2 linked regions of the Xenopus tropicalis genome follow. The protein of the gene in region 1 binds, or shares a complex with, the protein of each later gene. Links are inferred from orthologs where the notes say so. Each region holds a gene or a part of one and is shown on either strand. Other genes may lie near its edges.

What was found. Proteins that work in one complex are often made in the same cells at the same time.
Region 2: lsm8 (region 1) and lsm2 share a complex: the UniProt entries of both Homo sapiens proteins name them as parts of the precatalytic spliceosome. The link is inferred for Xenopus tropicalis from reciprocal best matches to the Homo sapiens genes LSM8 and LSM2.

The regions. Positions count from the first base shown.
Region 1 is NC_030679.2:68,679,626-68,684,656, forward strand, and holds the start of lsm8 (LSM8 homolog, U6 small nuclear RNA associated), read left to right. Parts: upstream 1-2,014; 5' UTR 2,015-2,140; coding exon 2,141-2,171; intron 2,172-4,380; coding exon 4,381-4,421; intron 4,422-5,031. UniProt on the Homo sapiens protein: Plays a role in pre-mRNA splicing as component of the U4/U6-U5 tri-snRNP complex that is involved in spliceosome assembly, and as component of the precatalytic spliceosome (spliceosome B complex).
Region 2 is NC_030684.2:75,102,786-75,107,625, forward strand, and holds lsm2 (U6 snRNA-associated Sm-like protein LSm2), read right to left. Parts: upstream 3,110-4,840; 5' UTR 2,972-3,109; coding exon 2,969-2,971; intron 2,505-2,968; coding exon 2,437-2,504; intron 1,954-2,436; coding exon 1,923-1,953; intron 1,039-1,922; coding exon 979-1,038; intron 862-978; coding exon 736-861; 3' UTR 403-735; downstream 1-402. UniProt on the Homo sapiens protein: Plays a role in pre-mRNA splicing as component of the U4/U6-U5 tri-snRNP complex that is involved in spliceosome assembly, and as component of the precatalytic spliceosome (spliceosome B complex).

The sequences.
Region 1 (5,031 bases):
ATGGGACCTGTTATCCAGAATGCTTGGGATCTGGGGTTCTCCAGATAAGGGGTCTTCCTGTAATTTGGATCTCATAACTTAAGTCTACTGAAAAAATTATTTAAACAGTAATTAAACCGAATAGGATTGTTTTGCCTCCAATAAGGAAAATTATATCTTAGTTGGGATCAAATGCAAGGTACTGTTTTATTATTACAGAGTAAAAGGAAACCACTTTTAAAAATATGAATTATTTGATTACAATTCAATCTATGGGATATGGCCTTTCTGTAATTTGGAACTTTCTGGATAATGGTTTCCGGGTAAGGGGTCCAATACCTGTACTAACAAACTGCTTTCTCACATGAAATAATTATAAACATATAATGCATGTATTAAAAAATCTTTTTTAATACATCCTAACAACTCCTTACACAAATGGATGTACACATATAATATGTATATCTTATATATACACATGAAAGTTTGCCCAACATGGGATAAAATGTACCTGGGGTTTTCGAAATGTGCTAAACTCCAGTCTGTCAAAGCACCTCTCCCAGACGATCACTTTGGTTAAGCTGGTTAAAAATGGCCACTCGACTTAGAGAAAAACATCATTTCTACAGTGTACCTAACCCCTCGTGAGTCTGGGTCTCCTCTTAATGCACATAAAACATTAATTTTTTGTTGCTACCAGTCCATTAAGTAGGGAGACGTTATTACTGACACCCATTTATTTTAGGTGACTTTAAGGGTCATATCAACCACTAGGTGTGGCTAGTGTATATTAGCTAGTGTATATTAGCTGGCAGAGAAATGCCTAAAGCCACCTTAAATTATTGGGATGGAGTATAGGCAGTTTTGCCTGTTTACCTGCTCACTAAGGGGCTGATTTACTAATCCACGAATCCGAATGGGAAAAATTCAGATTGGAAAACGAACATTTTGCGACTTTTTCGTATTTTTTGCGATTTTTTTCGTCGCCGTTACAACTTTTTCGTAACCATTACGACTTGCGCGAATTGTCGCGACTTTTTCGTAGCCGTTACGATTTGCTCGTATATTGTCGCAACTTTTTTGTATTGAGCGCTCGTAAATGGCGGGCAAACCTTTCAGACTTTGCATGATTTTGGAAGCCTCCCATAGGACTCAATGGTACTCTACAGCTCCAACCTGGCCCAAGAAAAGTCATGATACTGAAGCTTGAATGAATCCGAAACTTTTGTACTCGGCGCGACGGCTCCGAAAAAGTTGCGATAATTTGCGCAAATCATAATGGTTACGAAAAAGTCGTGACAATTTACGAAAAAAATCGCAAAATACCGATCATTACGAAAAAAACACATTCGGAGCATTTGTGGATTAGTAAATGTGCCCCTAAAACTCAAGACAGCACAAGCAGTGCTATTAGCCTATGGAGGCACTATCAGTTCAGGCAGCTGAATCCTTCACCAGAGGAAAGGGAAGGGGGGGGGGGTGACATCACTCCAACTTGCAGTGCAGCAGTAAAAAAAGACAAGTATTTAGAGCAGGGCCACCTGGACTAGTAAGGAAATGGCTAGCCCCATGTGTTATTATTAATTATATAATAAACACGTATTCCCATGACAGTATTGCTTTAACCCATGGTTCAAAAACATAATTTCACTTCTAGCAATAGGTTTCTCTCTCCAAAATAAACCTGATTACTAGGGATGCACTGAATCCAGGATTCGGCCTTTTGAAAATGTAACCTCTCCGTAACCTAATCAGCATATGCTAATGAAGATTTAACCCTTCCATAACCTAATTAGCACCTGCTAATTCGGATTCAGTTAGGTATTCTACCAAACCCTTTACAATGGATTCGGCGCTGATTACATATGCGATCTTTACCACATCAGAAACGTTAGTTATCTAACATCATAACTGGAGTCAAAGCATTTTCCCATACAATATTCCCTCCTATTATCTTCCCAGCTCAGAAATACGCTATCATTAAGAAACCAACGCACACACACACGCACAAAATGAATGCAAACTTCAGATAACGCGCACTTGCTCCTTTCACTAAGGGGCGGGGCTTTGCTCAGTCGCCTAACAATGACGTAGAATTTCCTCGCTAGAGCCGTGGATTTCCTGCGCGTGTGTTTGTAGTTGCAGCGGATACGATTCCAATATGGCATCAGCTTTGGAGAATTATATCAACCGTATCCTTTGTTGGGGTTGTTGGCATAATATGCGGAGGGCTTGCACTGAGAACCTATGGTGTGCGACTTTTAACCCGACGGTCAGAATAAACATGCAGATTAGCAGTCTCCCCTGCTCTCTGAGCTCGGCTGCTACAACTCTCTGATACCGGGGTATTGTGGGAAATGTAGCCTAGCACGGCTTGGGGGCTATTGTTTGGAAAGCGACTTGTGCTAGAGAAATACAGTATGTGGGGGATGCATGTTACTTCATCATTCGTCTGAGGGTCCTAAGTAGCTTTAATTACAGTTTATCGTCCGGTTCCTGTATTCCCTGGGGGAACCCCGACTTACTTATCACAGGGCCAATGTTGACCTGGGCTGTAACCCCTAGCAACCAATTACCAGTTAGCGTCTGTTTTTTTATTTTTTAGCCAGCTGAAAGTATAACAGGTGGTATTCATTTTAAACCTCCCTTTTAAATGAATGCCTGTTAGTGCCCTTTCCCCCTGTAACTTACCTATAGTGTGAAATGCTCAAATCTAATGCGAGGGGATGATATTATACATGGAGTGAGGGGATGATATTATACATGGAGCACGGGTTTGCCTATGTTACATTTGCTTGGCTATATTATTCTATGTTAAATTAGAACTCTAGTAGGAAAACTGCTGTGGTCCAGAAGCACTGACATTCAGTAATATACAGTAATACACTATTGTGCGGCTAGTAGGAAAAGTATTTCATTTTTCAATAAAAAAAAGTGAGAATTTTTCAGTACATCAGTATAGCGTTTTATTACAGGTACGGGGCCTGTTAACCAGAATGTCCTGGACTTGGGGTTTTCCGGATAAGCGGTCTTTCTGTAATTTGGATCTCCTACCTTAAAGGAACAGTAACAGCATAAAATGAAAGTGTTTTAAAGTAATTGAAATATAACGCACTGTTGCCCTGCAATGGTAAAACTCGGGTGTTTGCTTCAGGAACACTACTATAGTTTATATAAATACACTGCTGTGTAGCCATGGGGGCAGCCATTCAAGCTGGAAAAAAGGAGAAAAGGCACAGGTTACATAGCAAATAACAGATAAGACACCATTGTATTCTACAGGGTTTATCTGTTAGCTGCTGTATAACCTGTGCCTTTTCTTCTTTTGAATGGCTGCCCCCATGGCTACACACCAGGGTTTATATAAACTCTAGTAATGTTTCTGAAGCAAACACACAATTTTTACCAATGCAGCGCAGCAGTACGTTATAGTTTAATTTCTTTAAAATATATACATTTTTTGGTGTTACTGTTCCTTTAAGTCTACTAAGAAATAATTTAAACATTAAATAAACCCAATAAGGTTGATTTGCATCCAATAAGGATTCATTCTATCTTAGTTGGGATCAAGTACAAGGTACTGTTTTATTATTACAGAGCAGCCATTTTTAAAAATCGGAATTATTTGATTAAAATGGCATCTATGGCAGATGACCTTCCTGTAATTCGGAACTTTCTGGATAACGGGTTTCCGGATAAGGGATCCCATACCTGTACTACAGGTTTATATAATGCATTAAAAGCAAAAGTGGAGAAAACATTTTGCATGATTATATACAACAGGGGATCTTAGAGCAATAAGCAATATTGGGTACCGGAAGTCAGAGGTATCATAAACTGAGGATTTGTGTACTGACTCCACAGCCCTGGGGGCTCTTAAGCTGAGTGATGTACCCCATTGGGCACTATACAGTATACTGACGATATGCAATAAATAGTAAATTAAAGGAGGGAGGCATCCTTCATTCTAAACCAAATTCTGGGTTACAAAGCTGACTCCCAGAGTAATATAAATTACATGTTAGAAGAGACGGGAATGTAAGCTGCACTTCTGGATACAAAATTGAATACATTAAAAATAATTTTTGCAAACTTCAAAATGCTTTTTCCAACATTATATTATGAGGTGTTGAAGTAGACTTTTTATTTTTTCAAGGATCCATGGTCCAAAAATTCGTAATATTAACTTCACTTGTGGCCCCTGTAGCCTGACTACCCTGTAATGTGTTTTATGCCATTGTCCAACCTTAGAGAAAATGTGAATATGTTGTAGTTAAGGGAATCGCACACATTACAGTAGATGATGCATTATAAAGAACTCGTTTCACTTTGAAAATGGTGCTCTATATTTTTTATGATAACGTTTTACAGATTAAAATAATTCCTTGACATAAGATTCAGGAACTGTAGCTGTAATTACATCAGATGGTAGAATGATTGTGGTAAGTATTTATTTACTTTACTTGCTTAATATTTGCTATTAGAATTACATTCATATATTTCCTCAGCATGTATCTGTAGGTGGAGCCAGGCCCAAGATCCTTTGGAGGAGAATAAGCAAATCTAATGAAGCAGTGCTTCTATCTGTACTGTGTTTTGTATCAAAGTGCTTGGCTAGGTACAGATGCTCATTTTTCACCTTCTGTTGACATTACACTTTGGTCCTGAAGTTCTGGTTGTGGCAAGTTCAACCTTTGCTATAGCTGCATTTTTAAGCACTACACAAAGTGAATGCATAGCCATATCTAGAAGGATTTAATGATCCTAAGGAGCTGCTTTTTTATTTTGCTTATGATGATGTCTTGTCTGGGGCTCAGTGAATCCTGATCTCTAACTCACACTTTATTTTCAGCTGAGTAAAATGTAACATTCACAAAGATCAGCTCCTTCAATACCATATGAAGGGGAGACTCTTCCTCTTTAGAAAAAATTCAAGTATTTGGAATATTGATCACAGGTGATGGAACAGCTAGAGTGTGAGAGTAATGAAAATATTTAGTCAGTATCAGTTGTGTTGTACTGATCTCTGGTAGGAAAGTAGGTGCTGAGGTC
Region 2 (4,840 bases), on another chromosome or scaffold:
AGAAGGGCTTTCCACTAGAAGGTTAAACACTGCACACATTTAGTTATGCTCCCAAACACAGACAAACAGAAAGGTAGATTCTCATTTGGCATTTCAGTTGGGCTTAGGTAAAGATTCTATGTAGGCCAGTAAGGTCTTTGCACTTTAGCAATTCATAAAAACTCTGCTTTATGCATGTGGTATAAGTCATATGACTTTAAAGCTCTGGACAACAGAATGTTATAAATTTCTGTTCTTCAATGTGGAAAATTTCTGATTTTTCAAATTCAGGGTATGGGTTAAATTTACCATACGCATATTAAAAAAAAATTAAACCAGTAAAAATCATATTACGACAAAATTAAGAAAGGCAGATACAAACAGAAGGAACTAGCTTCACTAAAAAAAAAAAAAAACATGAGCTGATGACTTAACACAAAATTTATTTAAGTAAAAAAAAAAAAAAGTTAGGGCAGTCTTTCCCAATTAACTCTGCTTATCTGAGACCACTTCTTTGCAGAGCAAAATGCATTGCTTGGATTCTAAAGTGAACACACAAGTCACTGCACTTAAAAAAGTTTCCAGAACTAGGATGAGAAAAAAAAGTGTGGGTCTCTTACAGAAATGTAATGCAAAACCTGTATAACAGGTAACAAGTTGCTGCTCACTCCTATATTTGGCCTTATAGAAATATAGGCAGTTGACAACACCTAGTGCTGCTTGTGAACCTGCTTCCATCCTTCTAGCTCTTGTACATCACTGCTTTTGCTGTACAGCTTCTTTCCGTGCAGCGTCCTGGAGAAGCTGAGTGTCTACTTCATCAGCAGGGAGCTGTACATAGCGGACCACAGATCCCCGAATGAAACAATTCTTTACAGACAACTAAAAAAAAAATTTTTTAAATAATTACATTAACAAGTGTTTCAAAGCAGGATTAAAAGCTAAGTATCTAGTTTACTGGTGCAGATAAAAAATACAAAGAAAAAAAAAAAAGCTTACCATGTGTGGATATTTTTCTGGGTCTGTTACACTGATATCAGTCAGCTTAATGTTCAAATACTATAAAAAAAAAAAAAAGTGAAATCTTGTTTGAGATAATGAAAAACACAAGTTCCCCCCAAAAGTTCTATTCCAAGACATATTCCTCTATGCAGAATGCAAAAGATGATGTAGCACACTGATCACACATTAAATAAAGTGATTTATTGGCTTAATTAGCAGACATCTACTGGGAACATTTCAGCCAGTCTGAGAGTGACCCAAAACATTGCAAGAGTCGGTGCAACTTAATGCAACCACAATAACGGATCAGTGTGCTACAGCATCTTTGACCCTGGGCAGGTGGGTCTACAGACTGTTTAGCACCAGACACCTGAAAAGGTACTACGATAACAGGTAGAGCAGAGATATTCCTCTATGCAAACAAGCCCTCTAGGGTATAAAAAAAAAAAAATATGAGCAATATTCTCTTTGGAGAATCTTGTAGTAATTATGTTAATAAATATTCCCTGGTTTGACATTATACTCTGCAGGATGCGTACATTTTATTAAAGGCTCTGTCCCTTCAGGGGTTGTTCACCTTTGAATGAACTTTTAGTATGATGTGGACAGTGATAATTGGAGACAATTTGCAACTAGTCTTCATTATCGCAGTCTTTAATTAAATTTAGCTTTTTTTATTGCAGCTCTCCATTTTGGAATTGTAGGCGCTATCTGATTGCTAGGGTTTAATTTAACCTAGCGTTGTGGAAATTTCAGTAATGGTAAAGTCATTTAAAAGAAAATTTTCACTTTTTCATTTTTTTTTTGCCAACCCAACATTTTTCCCTGGCACTGAAAGATTTTATGCCAATTTCAGTTGCAAGGCTTAAGTGACAACATGGCTGAGCTGATAATTATGCTGAGAAAATAAACTACATTTATATATTTGCTCAGTTACTTACCTGATCAACTGAGTGTAGAGTACCACAGATACTGCAAGAGATAAGACCATTTATGTAATAGTGCAACAAAAGGCTAAATGGATGAAAGATGGCTAAATGGTAAAGAAGTGGTTATTTAAGGGTGTGAAGTCTACAGGAGCACAAGAAAATGTTTTTATAAATTCTGTCTACACAATACACTCTGCCCTCTAAAGTTTGACAATGGTCAGGGGGACTCTAAGTGCTGCTGCACCCACCGTGCTTACCTCTTTTGTGTTGGGCACATCACAAGTGCAGAAAGCACAACTGCACACACTGCACTAGGTTTAAGGGCTGTGACACACAGGGAGATTAGTCGACACGCAACAAGAAAGATTTGTTGCGCGGCGACTAATGTCCCCGTGTGTCACATCCCTTAAAGTACAGAAATTAGGTTCTTGAAATGTACCAGTGGCAGCTTTTTGCCTGACTGTATAGCATGTGGGGGGGGGGGGGGGGAAGCAATTCTAGAAAGAACATGGGGCAAAACACTCACCTCAGATCATTCTTCAGCTCTACCACCACATCCTTTCCTACAAGAGACTTGAAGAAGGAGTAGAATAGCTGTACATGATAAAAACAAGTAGTTATAAAAACCAGTTGCCTCTCCTGTAGCTTACCCAAGGCACATCACATAACAAATGTTGCCAAGATCCTTTACAGATCAAGGCAAAGCATGTTCTCTCATAAGACACAAACAATAACAGAGACAGACAAGTTGTTCTGTCCAACTAACATCAGGTTACAAATGATTGAAATGTTGTTGCAAAGCAGGGATGGCCAAATTCGAGCCCTCCCACTGCTATAAGACTACAAATCCCAGAATCCTGGTATAGGCAAAACATGGAACGTCAAAGCAGGGCATGGCCACTCAGAAAGCTGACCTTGCGACTATAGGGGGGGGGGACTGATTGCCAAACAGGTCTGTATACGCTGGTACACCACAAAATACATGGCTATCGACTCCTTAGGTTCTACCCTACAAAACGTGAAACAGTAACGGAACGCTAGTGTTCTTAAGCGGTTACCATTGCTTCTGTTGCAGTCGCACCACCCAAGCTCTATCTGGAAACTGAAGAACAAAACAGACGCCGCTGACAACGACAGATCTACACACCAAATGCCTTCCGCTCATTCACCGCTCTAGCGCCTCTGCATAAATCTCGCGAGAATTTAAAGCAGCAGGAATTTGCGCGCCGGCTTCAGGCACCGGCCGAATGAATGGGTCCCACGGTGATGACGCAATCATGATCTCGCGAGGACAGAAAACATTTTTTTCATGTAACTTTCTTGAGAAGTCCCCTAAACGTATTTTATCCCTGAACAACTAAAATACGTTAAAAAAAATACAGGTTTTATAAACTGGGAGCAGGTACTAAGTGTAACAAAGTATAGATTAGTTTATGAAACAGTAGAATAAAAATGAACTATATTAAGGTTAGGCACTCCACATTAGATCTGTAATGTCCAACCTTAAAATGTTTTTTTATTTTATTGTTTCTTCTGCCAGCAGAATTCTAACCTAGGGCCAAACTAGCGACAGTCAGACAAGAATCAGATTTATCTCTCCTTGTTCTTTGGATCCCTTTTTTGTATTTTTTTAATCCCTAACCTTTGGTTTGTCACTTGCCCACCTCCTGCCCTTTTTGAGCTTCTGCTCAGAGAAAATGTCCCTTGTACCAGTTTATTAAACAACTTTGGATTCCAGGTGTAACTACAGAGGCTGGAACTGCATTCTGACCCACAAACACAAACTATCAGTTCTTGCACAACAAACATCAATTGTAATGTTAAGGACCAATAATTACCAACTCCAGGTACAAGGCATGAGGGTTACGAGATAGCTAAAAGGAGTTACGCTGTCCATACCTGGGCTAGTTACTGTTAAAGGAGACATATCCTATAAAAATTATGAATGTGCCAGTGAATTATACTCCTCTAGATATAGAAGGAATGTGCTTAAAAAAGTTGTATTTCAGACAGATTTATTGAGAAATTCCCCCAAAACCCCACTAGTCCCCCCCATCTGCTCCACTTCCTGCTGGCTGAATTCTCTGGATGAGCTGGGGAGCCAGCGGCCCTCTATACACTGCACTGTAGGATAGGAACCAATCAGCAGCTAGGCTGACCTGATAGGGAACTGAAGCCTGTCTTTGCTTGTGTGAGTGCAGGTCTGTGATTGGCTCTCCCCCTCCTACTGTGCTTCTTGCAGGGACCGTTAGGACACGCCCACTCTTCATTTCAAACATGGTCAGAGAAGAGAGAGGATCTATAGGGAGCTCCAATAAAGGGGCCATTTTTACAAATAGGATTAATGTTTAGCCCAAAGGGAAACCAGCACCGTATATTATTCATAATTGCCTACAAAATTAGGGTTTTCCCCATTTATCAAATATGTCTCCTTTAATTTACCCTTCATATAAGTCGGTTCCATATTGGTCTGTGTAGGGACATTGCAGTTTTCATTTAAAAATGGTAATTATCTCAGGACAAAACAAGACAAGGAGACTGGAGGAACTTGGTGCACCTTAGGACGCCTGTCCAGGTTGTTTTGTAGCTCTACCCCTCCCACCCAAGCCTGCAAGCGCACAGGTCCCACAGCTTGGGCTCAGGAAGGATGGAGAGTGCAATGGAAGTGCAGGTCCTAACTTGGCACCCTCTCTCCCAGGTCATCTGCTATAGCGTTTGACTGAACTGTCCCCAAGACTTGAGGCCAACAAATGTCTGCAGTGGGTTAGAAAATGTCCTAAGGAATGAAACTCATGGGCCTGTTCATGCAGTTCTCTCGCAAGATACCTGCATATGTCCCTCACTCGACATGTTAATTGGCTCTGGGGCTAGACAAACGGTGGACAAACATGGAAAGATTTGTTTGCTTTGCAAAATGACATAATTAGCAT